Callithrix jacchus: one gene and its partner. Each later gene encodes a partner of the first gene's protein in a complex. Links are inferred from orthologs where the notes say so. Each region holds a gene or a part of one and is shown in the gene's direction. Other genes may lie near its edges.

Region 1 (10,444 bases):
ACAATTAATCTCTGAGTATGTGAGATATGCCTTTGTGACTTTTGCAATGCAGCAAATTCAAGCTGTTTTTTTTTTTTTGAGACGGAGTTTCGCTCTTGTTACCCTGGCTGGAGCGCAATGGCGCGATCTCGGCTCACCGCAACCTCCACCTCCTGGGTTCAGGCAATTCTCCTGCCTCAGCCTCCTGAGTAGCTGGGATTACAGGCACGCGACACCATGCCCAGCTAATTTTTTGTATTTTTAGTAGAGATGGGGTTTCACTATGTTGACCAGGATGGTCTCGAATTCTTGACCTCGTGATCCACCCGCCTTGGCCTCCCAAAGTGCTGGGATTACAGGCTTGAGCCACCGCACCCAGCCTCAAGCTGTTTTTAAAAAATCAGGTTTTTAAAAAGCAGGGGCATTAATGCCAGGGCTGCTTGAAGATGAACAGCTACAGAGAAATCCTACAGTAAGAGGTTTTTTGTGGTTTTTTTTGAGGTGTCATTCCATTGAGGGTTATATGTATATATCCTAGTTGTTAGCATAACATTAAAATTAGTGACAATATACAGGTTTCTTGTATAGGTTTTGAAAAACTAGCACTCCTCAAAATAACAGACCAAGCAATGTAGTTTTGCTAATGGCACTTGCTATGACTCATGATAGGGACGAACTGCTGATGAGCATTATGACAAAAATAGCCTTAACTTCACCATTTATTTTATTAACATGGCTACCTTGCTAAAACATTTTCTGAAACCAAAAGCTAGGGTGATCATTCATAGCATTATCTTTTAAAAGACTATGTTGGGGTCCAAAGTGGCTCCCGCCGGAGGTCGTGGCGCTTGCGAAGGCGAGGTCATGAGTTCAAGGCTAACCTAAGCAACCTTATAAGCTCAAACTGATTGGCAAAAAAAAAAGACTGTCATACTGCATCGTTGAAAAAAAAAAAAAACATTCTGGAAGAAAGGTGCAGTGGCTCACCCCTGTAATCCCAGCACTTTGGGAGGCCAAGGCAGGCAGATCACGAGGTCAGGAGTTCAAGACCAGGCTGGCCAACATAGTGAAACCTCATCTCTACTAAAAATACAAAAATTAGCCGGGCATGGTGGCACAAACTTGTAATCCCAGCTATTCGGGAGGCTGAGGCAGGAGAATTGCTTGAACCTGGGAGGCAGAGATTGCAGTGAGCTGAGATCAAGCCACTGTACTCTAGCCTGGGCAACAAAGCAAGACTGTCTGAAAAAAAAGAAAAAAACATTCTGGGTATTAGGATTTGCTTCCCGGTCTGTTAGGTTATCTGTTCTCCCCTCTAACTTAAAGTAATGTGTGAAAACAGTGCCATTCAGATATTGCTTAGGTAACTCTTAACAGGGCCTCAGCCTTTGCAGTTTTTAAACCAGTGACACTGCCTTTATACTGTTAGCAAGAACATACCTCACATACTCTGTTAACATGGCCTCAGCTTTTGGGCTTTCTAAACCAGTGAAACTGCCTTTATACTGTCAGCAAGAACAGCAGACTCCCATTAAAAAAAACCTATTACCCTACTCCAATTATTCATCTTTAAAAAGGCATAGGGTTTGCTGTTTTTGTTTTTTTTTTTTAATGTTTATCATCTTGACTTTTTTTTTTCCTTTTGGAAATTTTTGGATTGATTTGAAGATCATTTCAAAATGATCCAGAATATCAAAATCTATTTTTCCTCTTCCTAAATTATTTCTCAAAACAGTGTATTCATCAGATTTCTATGTGTGATAACGTAGCAGTCACTAACAGAACCTCAGTGCACTTCTTGGTTAGATATTCCACACCAAATAGCTAAAATCAACTGCTTTTGGGATTCTAAATGTACTTAAAGTTACAAGATCTGTATGAAAATGCAAGACACATTAATAAATTAAATTTTGGCAGCCAATTCATGATACAGCTCTTTTATCTCCAGATTCTGAGACTGAAAATATAACTTGATCAATCTATTGAATTACTGTAATAAAACAATTACTCCCTTAGAATTTTAATTTAGAATTTGTCTACTTCCAAAAAGGGTTTAAACCAGTTACTATTAGGCATTAGAAAGGTCATTTCAAATGTTGCAGAACACAGAGGATCTTCGTGTATTTAGCTTAACGATACAAAAAGAAATTTTGCAAGCATAAATATTCACTCTTACAACATGGTGGCAAGGTTTTTCTTTGTAGGACAATCTCTGACTGCCCTCTTACCTGCCAGTCTTCTCTCATGCTCAGTATGTGAGACAGTTAAGGGAAAAACACTAGAAGCAACTAAAATGATTGGCGAACTTCTCACTCTAACCAAGACTGCTTAACACAAAATTACCGTCTTCCCAATAGGGTTTTACGTCCTTTATCTGAAAAGGGCACTAAATATAATTACTGTGGACTTGAGTTTTTCTTTCTGGGGGGAGAAATCACCTTTATAAAGATAAAAGGCACAGAAGCAACTTCTTTTATCCTTTATTGGTGCCACTGTGAAATACTATTATGGCTTATACTTTAGCATGGAAGTGCTGGAAGGTGGTTATTGATCAGTGAATGCCGTTGACACCTTCATGTTCTTTGACTGGATGCTCCGGCTTTGAAGCGCCACATTTCTACACTGCTAACCTAGAGGAACCTGTGTTGAGATGATCCCACCGAAATAACACGGCTAATAGTTCATCTCTTTCCTCCAGGAACCTTCAGGTTTTACCAACCATCTTTAACCTAATTATCTAAAGAGACATAAGTTTGATGTGGCAAAAAAAAAAAAAAAAAAAATCCTCCTTAACGTTCGGATACTCGAATTCTTTAACGAAACTCACCACTGAGCTAGGCCGGCATATGTCCGACAAAATGTCCGCAAAAAACGTTAAGAAAAGCTGTTATAAGGCCAGCTTGAGAGGCATCATAAATGGCCTTCGCTGTCCTTTGAGCTAATTATCTAACACCCGAAGAGAGTGCTGGTTCTAGTTAGAATCCGCGCATCAGGTTCGCCAACCGTCAGAAGGGCGCGTGCGAGGGCAGGGAGGATGTTAAACCCCGTTTCAGGGCTCCTCCCTAGGCTGTAGGAAACCACCACTCTGAAGCCTGGCGGGGGAGGAGTGCTGCAGGCAGCTGCCGAGGGAGCACTCTGCGGCGAGGCCGTTTCCCTGAGTCACGGAGAGGGCGGGAGGCTGCACCCGTATGCTCCCGCCATGTCCTCCTGTAAAGGGCTCAGTCGAAACAGGCAAGGGCCTCAGGGGAAGGAAGCGGCACCCGCTATTCCTCAAAGTGGCCCAACAGCCACCTCACTCCCTGAAGACCTTGCATTTCCTTGGAACGCACTCTCCATTCTGGCAGCAATCAGCCGACCCTTCCCCATCAGCATCACGTGCACATGGAAGTACGTGGGTGGGACCTAAAGCACCCACGGAAGTGACGTTGGTCGCTCCGAGTCGCATGATGTGGCAAAATGAAAAAAAAAGCCGCGGTGGGGGGAGAAAAAGAAGATTGGCGAAAATTATGAGTCTAAAAAGTAGTCCCTCTGGTTCCTCTGTTTTCCCATATGCGTCAGGACGCGAGGGTTTGGGCGCACTGCGCCGCGAATTCCTGCGCCCGCCGCGCGCCGCTCCTCGGAAGGGTACATAAGGCGGAGGAGAGTGAGGCGACTGGGCGGAGTTCTGTCGCTGGGATCCATCCGCAGGGCTCAGCCGTTTCCGGAGTCTGCGCTGCGCCCGGTTCCGCCATTGCGGCTCTCTTGGCCCCTGGAGCCTCCGCCCCCGACCCGAGCTCTTTCGTCCGCCTGCCAGTTTCCTGCGTCCCCGGAGAGGATCCTGCTGAGCCCAGCCTTCCCCCTCCCCTTCTCCTCCTCTCCCTTGGAGAGCCCGGGCAGCCACTGCCCCGCAGTCCCAGTGACAGGAGGAGACCATACCCCCCGACAGCGCCATGGCCCAGATTCTGCCAATTCGTTTTCAGGAGCATCTCCAGGTGCGGCCGGGCCCGGGCTGGTGAGGGCTGTGGAGAAGGTGGTAGGAAGGATGGAAGAAGCTGGAGTCTGGGCCTGAGCAGTATTGGAGCTGGAAGGGTGGGGGGGGGAGGTTATCGGTGTTTGGGGTAGATGGAGGAGGGGGCAGTATCTTAGAAAGCTTAAAAGGTTAAATGATGTGGGGCTTGGATGGAAAGGACGGGAGTTGGGGAGCAAAGGGCTGCAAGGCCAGGCCTGGATCCAAAGGCCTCTCGATCTTGCTTCCTGGATGGCCGGTACTGCGCCTACTAACTCTCCCCTCCCCATTTTATTTAGTTCATTCATTTGGGTAGGGGAGTGGGAGGGGGGATTCTCCCTTGTTTCTATCAGAGCAAGGATTCTTATCATCCCCTGGGCCAGTGCAGGGCTGTCACCTTCTATTGCTTTCCTCTTTTCCTCATCGTGTCTGCACCCAGGAGTTGTGGGGCGGGTGGGTTGGGGAGGAGCAACCTTTTTTTTTTTCCTCCCTCTGCGGCTCTCAACTGAGAAAGGCACCTTCTCCGGTGGTGAGGGTTGAGGGTTGGTGAGGCGTTGGTTTGTCTCTTGCCTTCCCTGAGGCAGTAGGGACAGAAGGTCACTGAAAGAACGGAACGAGGGTAGAATGGGGGAACGCGTTTCTCAGAACGTTGTCAATCTCAGAGTGTGTGGGGTCAAGATCCCTAGGGAAACTCGCCTCCCTTCCCCCACTTTTTTATTTCTCTGGGGATGTTGTGGCTCTTAACCCCTCTCTGGTTCTAGAAGGTGGGAAAGTTACGCAGAGGTTATCTTCTAGTCTTCTCTAGTAGTAGCAGGTAGTTTTGATATCTTCCTCAGGATCATATGGAATTGAACAGAGCCCTGGGGACAGAGCACAGCTGCTCTGAGACTTGCAGGGTTATTTTGTCTGTAACTGGCTTCCCTTTAGTAAGTTCTAGAGTTCTTCCCCATGGTTCCTTATCCTGGAGGCAACATATTATTGTCTCATCTGGCAGCATGCCAGTTGCCGGCCTAGGCAGGTGACCATTGGAAGGCTTCACTGAATTTAAACCTCTTCAGAGCTTTTGATTTTCCGGTGTCACCAATCCTGATTTTTACTGTAGCTAAAATAACTTATTCCTATTAATTTGCTCTCTTCCCAAATATCCTCTTAAAGAAGCCTGCCTCAGCTCAATGGTCTGAAGGGCTAATTCCATCATAACAGAGAATGCGGTGGTTTGGCATGACACTAATACCGGTGACCTGTTAGACACTTTACCATTGAAGACCATTTTTATTTACATTTCCCCCATTGGCATAACATGCATAAAGGATTCTTGTTAATAAAAGGGTTTAATAATTCAAGCTATAAGTAACGTAATTTCATATTTCTTTGCAGGTATTACCATATTTGCACTAGCAAGGAATTATTTTCCTTTAAGGCTTGAAATGTAAAGAATAATAAGTCTTTACCCATAAAATGAGTTAAATAATGCACTTTCTTTAGTCATAATTTTCAAATAACTCATCTGAAGTAATGGAATATACCTTGGCAATAAAAAAACTTTTGCAGAAGGTTGAAAATGTTCAGTGACTTAAATGAAAGTTGCCAGGTTAAAAAAGAAGAAAAAAAATGTTCAGTGACAAAAATGGACATGTTTTTCTGATCAATTCTAGTTTAATTGCCGTGGTTACCTCTGTTAAATTGGGGTGGCAAATGAATGTGGAGAGTTGAGAAGGTGCTGTTCTTAAGTGTGAAAGGAAAACATGGGCTTATTTTCATACTAATGTGCATCTGAAATATCTTTCTGCAGACAAATGTTTATAAACCACACACAGAGAATCAAGTACAGCTGCTGTTTATTTTCCACGGCAGATGTATAGCTCACTACTAAATCTTGTGGTGGTTCGAGTAATAGCTTTTCATTTCTTTTAAAGAGGAGACAAGAATTGTTAAATGATCCCAAAGATTGGAACCCAACCTCGTCAGTTATCGAAGACAAATTTAATACATCTGTTTTCTAACTGGTTCAAAGTTTCTGCAGATACTTGAGCAAAGCCATTTTCTTCTCAAATAATTTGAAGATTTTGAATATAAAGCAGATTTGTAAATTGAAAAATTCAGTCTGTTTTTTGGATTGCTATGTCATGCCTAAACTTAAGCTTGCTTAACTAATGTGACTGTGTGCTCCAGCTGATTAATTGCAGAGCCCAATAACCGCAGCCTCTTCCATGATAATGTATGTCCTGACTTCATATCATTATCTCCTCCCTTTTTAAAACTTAGAAGGTTTTTGTTTTTTGAAGAGGCAGGGTTTTTGCTCTGTCTTCCATGCTAGAGGTCAGTGGTGCCATCACAGCTCACTGCAGCCTTAACCTCCAGGACTCAAGCCGTCCTCCCACCTCAGCATCCTGAGTAGCTGGGACTACAGACATGAGCCACCACACCTGGCTAATTTTTGTATTTTTTGTAGAGATTGGGCTTCACCATGTTGCCCAGGCTAATCTCCTGGGCTCAAGCAATCCTTTGCCTCTGCCCCCCGAAAGTGCTGGGATAGTAGGTGTGAACCCCCAAGCCGAACTAATAAGGATTATTTTGATTGGTGTCTTTGGTCTCTGACCTCTGAGCTTCTACCTGTTTGCTAAGATGCAGAAAACTTTCTGAAACACGTAAGATAAAAACTGGAAACAAGAAATGAGGAACTTAAGTATGAGTATAGAGTTAGCTTATGAAACTGTAAATGAACTTATTTTTATACCCTTTAACTACATTGTCCAGTTGAAGGATCTGTCATCATCAGTGGACTGATAGTAAATGAATTTTAATTTATGAATATTTCTTTTTTTCTAGATGGATAGCAGTTAATAAATGAATGCCTATTTGAGCAAGATATTGTTGGAATTGCAGTTTCTTAAAAATCCTAGGCTACATATATAAATTATTGCCTGTAATTCTCAATTTTTTGGCACATTAAGTATCTTTAGGCCACCTGAAACATTCTTTTGTATTTCTAGACTCCTTGAGTCTCCAATTAAAAATCACCCTAACCTATTCTTTGCCCTTTGATCCATAAAAGCAGGCATGGAATGTTTCGTTGAGTCAAATGTTAGGGATTCCTGCTATAGTTATTTTGGGTTGCAAATAGAAAGCAATGCTAAGTACTAGGATTTACTACATGCTTAGTTGTACTGTCTGGAAGAGGTATACTTCCTGGAATTATGCTGCAGTCTCCTGGGAATAACTTCTAAGTTTAAAATGTATCATATTCTTCAGAATTTTCTTAATGGTCAGTTTACTTAGCTTAAAGTGGTGTGGTTAACTTTAGTGAAAGTGCTTTCACTCTGATTAGGAATAAGGCACAGAATGGTGTGTATGTAGAACACAATCATTTTCATTTGAGTATTTAGGAAAATTCACATTTCAGGAACCTTGGTAGTTGCTCTTGAACAATTGTTTCTGACCATAATTGGAACTTGTACCTTGCTTTTAAAAGGTTCCATTTACATTGAGTCCTCAGCTTCTTTGCAAAATTGTTTCTTCCATGCATATGTTTAACTCTATATGTTATTTGAATTATTTTTAACAAGATGTTTTCTCTGTCATTGTTACTGTTGTGGCTTTTTCTCTTTGAGAGTTATTGTCCAATAGAACTTTCTTCAATGATGGAACTGTCTACTAACTACATAGGGATATTGAGCACTTGAAATGTGGCTGATGTGACTCAGGAACTAAATTTGTGCTTCAGTTTCTTTTTAATTAATTTAAATGTAAATAGCCACATGTGACAATTGACTACAATATTAGACTGCACAATTACAGGCCATGCTGATGTGCTTTGTAAGTTTGAAGATTTAGCTTACCACTCATGTATATGTATTTCATTAGATAAAATTAAAACACTCATTGTTCAGAAGTTTTAACTGAATACTGTCTTGGAAAGTGGTGGTAATGAACAATGACTAGAAGCAGACTTGAGACCTTATTACTGCTGTAAATTTGGTTAGGTATTTTCAGGTCTTCATTCAGTCCTCCAGACAGCTTTCTAAAAAGTGAGACTCAAAAGTAGTGGGAATGCTGTCCAAATGAGATGTGTGCCTGGGTCTTCTGACACAAAGTATTTCAAAGAAATTGAATAGTTAGCCTTAAAAAGAGAACTTAGACCCAGAGAATTGAGTTCTCTCTACTTGTTTATAGATTAATGATGTGGTATAGTAGAACAGGGCTTTAGGGGTTGTTGAAACCAGTGTTTCCAATAGAAAAATATGAGCCACATACTGTTGTTTTTTTTTTTAAAGGCAGTCTTACTTTGTCACACAGACTAGAGTGCAGTGGTGTGATCTCAACTCACCGCAACTTCCAGAGTCAAGTAATTCTTCTGCCTCAGCCTCCTGAATAGCTGGGATTATAGGCACCTGCCACCATGCCTGGCTAATTTTTGTATTTTTAGTAGAGACAAGGCTTTACCATGTTGACCAGGCTTATCTCCAACTCCTGACCTCAAATAATCTGCCCACCTTGGCCTCCCAAAGTACTGGGATTATAAGCGTGAGCCGCCGCCCGTGGCCTCACATATTTTTGCATTTTCTAGCAGCCACGTTAAAAGTGAAAAAACAGATAAAAGCAATTAATTTGTCTGTGTTTGTGTGTGTGTGTGTGTGTGTGTGTGTGTGTGTGTAAGAGAGAGAGAGAGAGAGAGGGAGGGAGTCTTCCTCTGTCACCCAGGCTGGAGTGCAGTGGCATGGGTGATCTCTGCTCACCACAACCTCTGCCTCCTGGGCTCAAGCAGTTCTCCTGCCTTAGCCTCCAGAGTAGTAGCTGGGATTACAAGCGCGCACCACCACTCTTGGCCAATTTTTTATATTTTTAGTAGAGACAGGAGTTTCACCATGTTGGCCAAGCTGGTCTTGAACTCCTGACCTCATGATTCACCTGCCTCGGTCTCTCAAAGTGCTGGGATTACAGGCATGAGCCACTGCACCCAGCCTAGTGTGTATTTCTTTTTTCTTTTTTTTTTTTGGTTGCCAGGGGGAGGCACAGAGACTCACTCTTGTCACCCAACCTGGAGTGCAATGGCATGATCTCAGCTCGCTGCCACCACTGACCCGTGGGTTCAAGTGATTTTCCTGCTTCAGCCTGCTGAATAGCTGGGATTAGATTACAGGTGCCTGCCACCTCATCTGGCTGATTTTTTGTATTTTTAGTAGAGATGAGGTTTGACCATGTTGCCCCGACTGGTCTCAAACTCCTAACCTCAGGAGGCCCATCTCTGCCTCCCAAAGTGCTGGAATTATAGGCATGTGTCACCGCGCCTAGCCATGTGTGTTTTATACTTAGAGCAGATATCAATTCAAACCCTATTTTCGTTGGAAATAACTAGTCAGTATTTAGAGTTCATAAAATTTACAGTTAGAAAGTCAGATTTTGGGCTGGGGGAGGTGGCTCATGCCTGTAAACTCAGCACTTTGGGAGCCAAGGTAGGAGCATTGCTTGAGCCCAGGAATTCGAGACCAGCCTGGGCAACAGAGTGAGACTTTGTCTCTATATTAAATAAACAAATAAAAATGAAAAAAAAAAAAAAAGGAGATATGCAATACTTCAGTGATCCCAAACATACTTAAGTTTTCCAGTAATTGAATCACTTACTGGATTTTTTAATCATTTAATTTTAATTAAACTTTGGGTACTACATTTCAAGTACTCGGTATCATATGTGGGTTGTGTCTTATGGTTACCATATTGGGCAACACAGGTTAAGTCTAACCTCTTGCTGCTTTTTCTCTGGGAAATAGGCATACTATCTCACAAAGTTATTATGAGGATCTGAGGTCATATATGTGAAAGTACTTACGTAACACTTTTAGGAGCATTAATTATTGGCTAAATAATTTTTGTCCAGTACGTTTTCTTCAAGTATCTCGACCAATGACACAGTATTCATTTGCAGATCCAGCATTTTATGGGGTGTAAGTATTTGGGGTTAGTGTATTTACCTAAGATTTGAATACTTCATATCGGGAACTGTGTTAGACTCTAGGGACAAGGTGGTAAACAAGATGGACTACTCCTTGCTTTCAGGCTTCCACTGATTAGTTGGCAAAGGGTGCCCACTTGTCATTCCAACTACTGATGTTGTCTACTTGATTGTGGATCTTTTATATATTTGAACATTTGAGATAGTGCACAATTTAATAGAAATACCGACGTGAAACAGAGTTGATTACACTCTGAAACTGCCCCAAAAAAGAAAAATTTAAATAAACCTTTTATTATATTCCATGAGTCTTACTGTGTGCCACTTGTACATTTTAAATTAGGGTTCCTTGATCAGATGTATTTGAAAAAAAACTTAATCGTATCAGATAAAATACCCATATGGAATACCAGTCAGGCCTTTGTTAGAGTTATTTTATGTGTCCTTTTTTAAGGTAGTAGTGTTGAAGTGAATATTCTCACTTAGATGAATAGTTGGTTCATAGCTGATGTTTTAGTCCTGTGTATTAG
Region 2 (9,677 bases), on another chromosome or scaffold:
TATTTAAAGTGGGTCGTTATAGACCTGATATGCCTTGTTTTCTTTTATCAGACCAGAATGCTGTGAAAGCTGAGCCAAAAAAGGTAAATTTAGTGTCTTAATAAAAAGGAATAGTTTCTTTTATTTGGAATTTTCTTCGAGACATTAAATGACTAAAATAACCCCTTTCACTTAGTCTCTTTATTTACTTAAGTGGTTGGTAGAAGGTGGGAGTGACATAATAGTAGCTCAGAAGAATGAAAATCAGGTCTCTTGAGATAGCTGTAGGTAAGCTGACATGGGATAAAACTAGTAAAATGGATAGAACCAGGGAGAACAATGTTATGCAAAGAATTTCGTGTTTATCCTGTAGGTTATGAAGAATCAGGAGAAGTTTTAAATAAGGGTAGTGCCACCGTCAAATTAATAATTCAGGAAAATACCATAGCCCTGAAGATTTTAGTCTGGAAAGGGAAGCATTTATAGATAGGGAGACCAATTGTGAGACTACTGTAATGGAATAGGTGGGCTAGAATAGGTGGAAAGGGGCAGTGGGTTTTAAAATGAGAAGCTAGGTGTAAGACATCTGAAGAAAGGCATTTGACAGGACTGGTGGCCGAGTAGATGGTGAGAGGTAAAGGAAATTGAAAAAGCAGAGAGAAGATTCTGAAGCTATTAGTTTGATTAACCATATAAATTATGCTGCTGCTAAAAGAGATAAGACAAGAAAAGGAACAGGTTTAAGTGGGTGCATGCTAATAACCTTTTTTAAAAATCTTAAACTTGTGTAAAACATCTAGATACCAGTGAGTAAAAATTTGGAAAGCAAGATGGAAATTGGTGCTAGGATGTAGATTTAGGATATAATACTGGGAGTATGGACAGGAATTTAAGCTGTGGGACTGAGACCATTCCAATTAGGATATATAAAATTATGAAAAAGTGGACTCTAGAGAGCACCTTCAGGTGGGCAGAAGTCAGGTACCAGGCTGAGGACTGGGCAGAGAGGCAAGAGAACTAAAAGGATAGAAGGTTAAAGGCAGAGTAATCTAAAGGAGAGTGTGGTCAGTGAGTCAGGAAGGATAAAGTTTGAACAAAAGCAGCTAGATTGTAAATTTGTAGTCACTGATGATCTCATTGACTGTATGTACATTCCTGATTTAAGTAAAACTTGAATATTATTCTTGGCATTGTGAATCTCATTGATTCATTGGACAGATCCTTGATTATTTACTCTGGTATAACCTTAGTATAATATGGAAGAGACCAAAACTAATAGGATACAATTCAAGGTGGCAAGATATAGATAAATATTTTCTATATGAGAGGAGGGAGAGATTGTTTCTGTTTGGAGGAACAACAAAGAACTACTCTTGGAAAGGGTTAGATTTAAGCTGGCTTTTCAAGAATATGTAGGATACCAATCACTGGTCTAAACTCCAAACAACTATTTAAAAAGTGTTAAATAGGAACAGAGGTACATCATGGTATTAAATAATAAGATTCACCAATCAGTGTTTTTATATTCTGTTTTTACGGTAGCCATTGATGAATTCTGCTTTCTTTATGCACTCTAGAAGAAAGACTAGTTTTTAGCACTAGGTTTTCACTGATTAGAAAAAAATGGTTTCTAATCTAGAGAAGTCTGTGATTATGCTTTTTAAGGAATTTTACAGACTTAGTAAATATCTTATCACTTTTTAATCATTTTTTCTCTTGCTAGAGTTTTCCACATTTTGTGATCAAGTCTCTGTTTTCTTATGGACAGTGGACAAGTGCATAATCATGAGAATCAAAAGCAAATTGTTAGAACTCAAAACTAGGAAAGCTGTAAGATAGCTTTTTATAAATAGAAAACAAAGATCCTAATAACTCTAATCTGCTCATCTGTGGCATTCTTACTGTCTAGTTAATCATATTAATGAGGATTACAATACCTGGAAAATGTGGTTTGAAATTTCTTTCTCATTGAGAAATATGAGTGATTTTTGAAGTTATTGACTTAAACTTAATTTAAATCAGGCTAGAACCAGAAAAAAATAGGAATTTAAGTAAGTATATTTTTGCTGCTATAAGGGATTAAGGATAGAATTTAACTTTAAAAAGAGAACTTTATTTTGTAATAAGATATGGAAGTAAACCTTTGCCAGTTCTTTTTTTTTTTCTTATTTGCCAGTTCGTTTTTTTAAAGTTTATTTTCTTTTGAATATTCTAAGGCTATTTCATCTTCTGTACGGATTACAAGGTCAAAGGCCAAAGACCAAATGGAGCAGACTAAGGTATAGTTGATAGTAGATAATTGTTACTAAAATGATAAATTGTACTTTTTTTCAGAGTGAATAAATTCACTTTTAATCTAGTATCAGAATCAAGCATAATGGTTAATTTACTAGAGTTAACAGGTATGAAAGTCACTGTTTTTGGTATGGTGATGTAGAGTAATTTCACTTAAAATATTTGCTCCAACATTCCTTATGAGATCCATGGCAAACTGTCTTTGTGTCACACTCTTGTTTTGTTTACTGGGTTCATGTTATGCATTCAAGTTACCTGCATAAAATGCAGATGGGGAGGAAAACACACAGGGTAGGTGTTATAAACTTATGGGTCTTCACAATACTGTAATAAAGATATTAGGAGGGTTACTAAAAGTGAAGTGGGCAAAGGGAATTAGTATGCCTCTTTATCAGGGAAGGAAGCTAAGTTCCACATATGCATATGTAATTGATTTTGCATTGCTATGATGTTCCTGGCATTGTTGTGAGCTTTTGAATATAATAATAAATTTCCTGTCTTTGTGGAACTTACATGTAAGGCAGTTAAAAAAAAAAAAAAACAAACATAATATGTTAGAAGAGCATAAGTATTATGGAGGAGATTTTTTAAAAGGGAGATGGGATGTGCTAGAAGTAGGTGTGGGGGGTAGAATTTTGATTGAGCAGTCAAGGAAGGCCTCTCTGAGATGAAAGCCTTTTGAGTAAAGTCATTATGGGAGTACAGGAGAGAACCATGGAAAAGAGCTTTTTATCCAGGAGAAGCATTTTCTAGGCAAAATTAAAATCTCTTGAAGTGAAAGCATGTCTGGAGTGTTTAAAAACCTTCAGAAGGCAAGTTATAGTTAGCAGTTTTTAATAGCTTAGGTTATTTGCATTTTCTAAAATCTGTGATTCTGAAAAAGGATGTAAGCTTTTTTGGAAGCTTAATGGAAAGCTTTTTTATTTTATCTCATTTTATTTGGGTTAGTAGGTTTTTTTTTTTTTGGTTGGGTCATTTACAACGATCATATTTCAGATGAGGAATCAATTTATGGATTAAAAATGTGGTGCTTTGATTCATTTTGCAATTAAATCACATGGCACCTAATCTCTTAAATAGATGGATGATGACAGTGATGTTCAAGCAGTCCGACCTGGTCAAAGAAAAACTTCTGAAAAGAAAGTGTCAGACAAAGAGAAAAAAGGTAGGAATATTAGCAATTACTATAAATTCTCTAAGGCTACCACAGCCATAATTTTTTTTAAGTGTCCAGAAGGTCAACTGGAATCTATTGATTTATTTATTTGAGACAGGCTTGTCGCCCAGGTTGGAGTGCAGTAGCGCAATCATAGCTCACTGGAGCCTCCACCTCCTGGGTTCAAGTGATCCTCCCACTTCAGCCTCCTAAGTAGCTAGAACTACAGGCTTGCCACCATGCCCAGCTGATTTTTACAGTTTTTTTAGATAATGGGACCTCTCTATGTTGCCCAGGCTGGTTTCAAACTTCTGGGCTAAAGTGATCCTCCCGCCTCAGCCTCCTGAGTAGCTGGGACTACAGGCATGTACTACCATGCCCGGCTTCACAGCCATAATTTAATAACTACAAAGGACATTTGATTATTTTTTTTCCACACAGTTGTGCAGCCTGTAATGCCCATGGCATTGAGAATGACTCGATCAGCTACTGAAGCGGCAAAGCAGGTTCCCAGAACAGTCTCATCTACCACAGCAAGAAAGCCAGTCAGAAGAGCTGCTAATGGTAAGAACTATTCCTTGATCAGTTACTGAACTAGAATGTTTGGTCCTTGAGGTTTTTGTATTCTGTTTCAAAAATCAACAAGTACTTTGAGTAGGAGAGAAGGAAACAGGAAATTGTAATTCCTGAAACTAGATTCTGTGTCTTGACATCCAGTTGGCACATCATGGATGCCCAAACATTGAAGACCTGAATTGGTATAAGCAGTGTTTCAAAATGAAAAATTAATGGTCCTGATAAATCATAGTTCATTTATTTGGGGCAATATAATGTAGCCATTAAGAACAATATTATAAAAGAGCACTTAATGACATGGTTCATGATATATTAAGTGGGCAAAGAAAAGCAGGTCAAACTGTACAGTAGGATCACAATTCTAAAAAACAGTATGTGATTATGTGGATATAGGACTGGAAAACCATACTCTAAGTGACAACAGAGTAATGGAATCTGGGTGATCTTTTCATTGCTGTTCTTCATAGTCTTTTGTATTTTTCTAATTGTAATAAATATGTACAGGTTGAGCAACCCTAATCAAAACATTCAAAATCTTGAGCAACGACATGACATTTAAAGGTCATGCTCAAAGGAAATGCTCACTGGAGTATTTCAGATTTTAGATTTTTGTATCAGGTATGCTGAACCTGTAAGTATAGTATATACATTCCAAAATCTGGAATCTAAAATACCTCTGGTTTCAAGCATTTTGGATACGGGATACTCAATTTGTATTTGGTATTCAGAGGGAAAAGGTGAAACACTCTGGCTTTGAAAGCAGATGGTCTGTACTTGGCAGGAAATTCCATTTGTTTTTAACCTCTTTTATAATATGGCTTTTTATAATAAAAATCCTTCAAAACATGTATTTCTCCTGTTTCTTCTTTTCCTTTCCCAAGTTACCTAGTATTTTAATGTAGCATTTCTATCTAGTAAAATATTTTATTTTATTGTTATTTTAGAAAACGAACCAGAAAGAAAGGTGCCAAATAAAGGAAGACCTGCCAAAAACATAGAAACAAAACCTGACAAGGTAGAGAATAAACATCTTTTTACTTCTAGATGCTTTGAAAATCTCATTGCTACTTTCATAAAGTTGAAATTAAACAGACAGAACTGCTTCAAGAGGTTAACCTACATGTATGTTAAAACTTCCTGAACCAGGCCAGGCACGGTGACTCAAACCTGTAATCTCAGCACTTTGGGATTCCGAGGCAGGCAGATCATCTGAGGTCAGGAATTCTAGACTAATCTGACCAACATGGAGAAACTTGGTCCTTACTAAAAATACAAAACTAACCAGGCATGGTGGTGCATGCCTGTAATCCCAGCTACTCGGGAGGCTGAGGCAGGAGAATCGCTTGAACCTGGGAGGCGGAGGTTGCGGTGAGCCAAGATCCGTGCGGTTGCACCCCAGCCTGGGTAAACAAGTTAAACTCCATTTAAATAAATAAAATTAAAAAATAAATAAAAAACTTCTCAGACCATAAGAAAGCATCAAGAGGATTTGTTCTTGTTGTTTTTCAGGTATCTTATTTTCAGAGCTTTTTTTTTTTTTTTTTCTCTGAGAGAGTCTCGCTTTGTTGTCCAGCCTGGGGTGCAGTGGTATGATCTTACCTCACTGCAACCTCTGCTTCCCAGGTTCAGGTGATTCTCCTGCCTCAGCCTCCCAAGTAGCTGGAACTGCAGGCACGTGCCACCACACTCCACTAAATTTTGTATTTTTAGTAGAGATGGGATTTTACCATATTGGCCAGGTTGGTCTCAAACTCCTGACCTCGTGATCCACCTGCCTTGGCCTCCCAAAGTGCTGGGATTACAGATGTGAGCCACTGCACCCTTCAGAGCTTTGTATGTAGGGAAAGCATAATTTGGTTAGAAGATGGAGAAAAATAATAAAAACACAGCTGAGAGAAACCTTTATGTGGGAATTAGCCAAGACATAGGATGGAGCGGGGTGAAATGCATTGACTTTGGATTCATTTAGGCCTGGGTTTGAATACTCCCTCTGCTTCCAATTAGCTATATTATATAACCCTGGGCAAGTTATGTAATTTATGAGTTTGTTTTCTTATTCCTAATATGGAATACCTACATAGAGTAGTTGTGAGAATTAAACTAAAATTTCTGCCAGCATCTGCAACGGTTTCTAATAAGGTCTTCAAAAAAATATGCCCCATTTGAGGATCCCTTGGCTTATAAATCTATGGTATAATTTCTTTTTTTTTTTTTTTTTGAGACAGAGTCTCATTCCGTTGCCCAGGCTGGAGTGCAATGATGCCATCTCAGCTCACTGCAGCCTCCACTTCCAGGGTTCAAGTGCTTCTCCTGCCTCAGCCTCCCAAATAGCTGGGATTATAGCTGTATGCCACCACACCCATCTAACTTTTGTATTTTTGGTAGAAATGGCATTTCACCATGTTGCCCAGGGTGGTCTTGAGCTCCTGACCTCAGGTGACCCACCTGCCTTGGCCTCTCAAAGTGCTAGGATTACAGGTGTGAGCCACTGTTCCCCACCAGTGTAATTTCTTAATTTAAAAAAAGTAACAAAGATTAAGTAACCTAGCTAAATTCTTAGTAAAAAATCAAACACAGATCAAGAAAGGAAACATACAATGAATCTTTGCAGATAAAGCAGCTGGACCTTATAGGTCCTCCCTTAAGATTTATTCTACCCTTAAGGATCATCACTAATTTTTGCTTTGACCGCCATGCTAGCCTCAACAGTGTTGCTACTTAAACTTTTGTCCAGGTTGAAATACCTGGGTTTGAGTTCATATCTTATTAAAAATCAGAAGCCTAGAAACCTCTAGAAATTATATTTAAATACCAAGTCATAAATTGACTTGAAATAGTAAATATGCTTTGTATTTTATATGGTTAATCTTTTGTGTCACATTGAAAAGTATTGTGGTAAGGTTATTTGTAATCTAAGGTTGTTTAAGTAAAGGATTTGGTCCTTAACAATAGTCATTCCATAATGTTAGATTTCTGATTTTAAACCATTGTAATTATCAACATAATTTAAGTAAAAAGGTCTATGTTCGTTGAATAAGTTTTTCCATATTAATTTTCCATTCTCTTTTAGTTTGTTGTAATTTCTAAAAGATATTAGTCTTTTTCTTTTCTTTTCTTTTTTCTTTTTAAATCGGGTTTCACCATGTTGGTCAGGCTGGTCTTGAACTCCCAACCTCAGGTGATCTGCTCACCTTGGCCTCCAGAGTGCTTGGATTACAGGCATGAGCCACCACGCCGGCTGATATTAGTCTTTTAATAAGAATTGGTTCTATCTATTCCTGGGGAATAGCAATGGTTTAGCATAACCGGTCTTCGGATTCCATGTATACACTTAACTGTATCTGTTTTTGTCTTTCAAATTATGCACGTAGTACATATATTTCAGTTGTCATGTTTTCAGACATATAAAAATTGGTTGAATATATCCTCAGAAGAGAGAAATCTTACTATGTTAACTCACATCCTAGGGTATTTCTTGTGAAGTCTATAGTGAAGAAAATACTTTGGATTCACAAACTAGTGCAACAAATGGAAAAGATCCAGATGGAGTCTTATCAAAAATGGAAAACTTACCTGAGATACATTCTGCAAAAATGAAAGGGAAGAATTCCTTCGCACCTAAAGATTTTACGTTTCAGCCACTGGATGGTCTCAAGACCTATCAAGTAACACCTATGACTCCCAGAAGTGCCAATGCTTTTTTGACACCCAGTTACACCTGGACTCCTTCAAAAACAGAAGTGTAAGAATGTAATATTAATAAGTCCCTTGCTAAGATGGGTAATAAATGCCTTTCTTATATTTAGCCTGTGCTCTTTTTTTTTTTTTGAGACAGAGTTTCGCTCTTGTTACCCAGACTGGAGTGCAATGGCGCAATCTCGGCTCACCGCAACCTCCACCTCCTGGGTTCAGGCAATTCTCCTGCCTCAGTTTCCTGAGTAGCTGGGATTACAGGCACACGCCACCATGCCCAACTAATTTTTTGTATTTTTAGTAGAGACAGGGTTTCACCATGTTGACCAGGATGGCCTCGATCTCTTGACCTCGTGATCCACCCGCCTCGGCCTCCCAAAGTGCTGGGATTACAGGTGTGAGCCACCGCACCCGGCTAGCCTGTGCTCTTAAAAAGTTGTTTAGCTATTGAACTATGTTAGTTATGAACCATGAAATTTTTTTCTTTTAAAAAATTCTTCAGAAGGTACAATAATGTACTTGACAGTTTCTATATTTCCTATGCATTATTATTTTCACTATACAATTTGGGGTTTTTTTGTTTTTAATGAGTTACTTAACACAAATAACATTTTTCAAAAGAAGAAACTTGTTATAATACTGTAGCTCAGATATGACTTTTTCCTCATTTTTTTCTGGCTCAGTATTTAGAAAAACTGCTTCTGAAGACAAAAATGATTACTTTATAAAACAGGAAAAATTAGTTGGAACCTTTAAAAGAAAAGGCAAGATCATTTTGCAAAGACTGGCTGACAGCAAATATACTAGAAACTGCTCAGCAGCATCTAAGACTATTAAGTGTTTATGTTCTATTAAGAAATATTCATCCAAGTCATGGCACCAAAAAAAGTAAATAAATAAAAATTTTAAAAATCTTCAAAATCACCAGTCCCGGTGGTTCATGCCTGTAATCCCAGAACTGTGGGAGGCTGAGGTGGGCAGATCACCTGAGGTCAGGAGTTCAAGACCAGCCTGGTGCAACATGATGAAACCCTGTCTCTGCTAAAGATACCGGGCGCAGTGGCACTTGCCTGTGATCCCAGCTACTCTGGATGGCTGAGGCTGGAGAATTGGTTGAACCCAGGAGGTGGAGGTTGCAGTGAGCCAAAGAGCAGGCCATTGCACTCCAACCTGGGCAAAAGGGCAAGACTCCATCTCAAAAAAAACCAAAAAGAAGTCTTCAAAATATTTAATATCATTGCAATTAATTAGTAAAGATGGACATTTACACTATAGGTGTTTAAATTTTCTCCCCTCCAGAATGCACATTTTTTTAAAAATAGAAGAATTTCCTTTTTAGCCAAGATTTATAAAAAGTGACACAACTTTGAAACCCCTAAAATTAGATATATGGAGTTCATGTTTCATCAAGTGTATATTTTTGCTATTGTTTTTAGTGATAAATCTCAAGAAGCAACAAAAGAAATTTTGGCACAAAAATGTAAAACTTACTCTACCAAGACAGTGCAGCAGGATTCAAATAAATTGCAATGTCCTTTGGGTCCTCTGACTGTTGGGCATGAAGGTATAGTATTTAATTAATGTATTTATTTATTTATTTAATGTATTTATTTTTTAGATTAATGTTGTTGATAATACAAAAAAATCTTTTACTTTCAGGTGTAGTAATTTAAATTTTTACTTTTCTGGATTATTGTCAGATTCATTTAGAGCCCTTTTTCACCATATCATTTGAGGATATGAACTAAGGGTCATATATGAACTCGCTGTCAGAAAAGATGGGAAGGCATGGGTAAAGATATCTGAAGACAGAATTGGAATGAAGAATACAGATAAAAGGGGAAATAAATGTAAATTTAAAGAAAAAAATATTCAGAGCTACTTTAGGGGAAATGTGAATGAAGTCATTCAGACAGAAATAAAATTTTAAAATCAAACATGGAAAAAAACTGAAGGATTTTTAAAAGGTTTTTTTAGG

What was found. Proteins that work in one complex are often made in the same cells at the same time.
Region 2: the proteins of CLTC (region 1) and DLGAP5 are in contact, whole or in part, in a crystal structure (PDB 7ZX4), measured with the Homo sapiens proteins. The link is inferred for Callithrix jacchus from reciprocal best matches to the Homo sapiens genes CLTC and DLGAP5. Residues at the interface, in NP_004850.1 of Homo sapiens: Val50, Arg64, Pro65, Ile66, Ser67, Ala68, Leu82, Lys83, Ala84, Thr87, Gln89, Phe91, Ile93, Lys96, Ser97, Lys98; in NP_055565.3 of Homo sapiens: Gly833, Asn834, Leu835, Ile836, Thr837, Phe838, Ser839, Pro840, Leu841.

What each region holds. Positions count from the first base shown.
Region 1 is NC_133506.1:94,189,068-94,199,511, forward strand, and holds the start of CLTC (clathrin heavy chain 1), read left to right. Parts: upstream 1-3,681; 5' UTR 3,682-3,908; coding exon 3,909-3,950; intron 3,951-10,444. UniProt on the Homo sapiens protein: Clathrin is the major protein of the polyhedral coat of coated pits and vesicles. Two different adapter protein complexes link the clathrin lattice either to the plasma membrane or to the trans-Golgi network.
Region 2 is NC_133509.1:89,747,168-89,756,844, reverse strand, and holds part of DLGAP5 (disks large-associated protein 5), read left to right. Parts: coding exon 1-83; intron 84-2,195; coding exon 2,196-2,258; intron 2,259-3,354; coding exon 3,355-3,439; intron 3,440-3,869; coding exon of another isoform or gene 3,870-3,871; coding exon 3,872-3,994; intron 3,995-4,950; coding exon 4,951-5,021; intron 5,022-7,473; coding exon 7,474-7,748; intron 7,749-9,135; coding exon 9,136-9,263; intron 9,264-9,677. UniProt on the Homo sapiens protein: Potential cell cycle regulator that may play a role in carcinogenesis of cancer cells. Mitotic phosphoprotein regulated by the ubiquitin-proteasome pathway.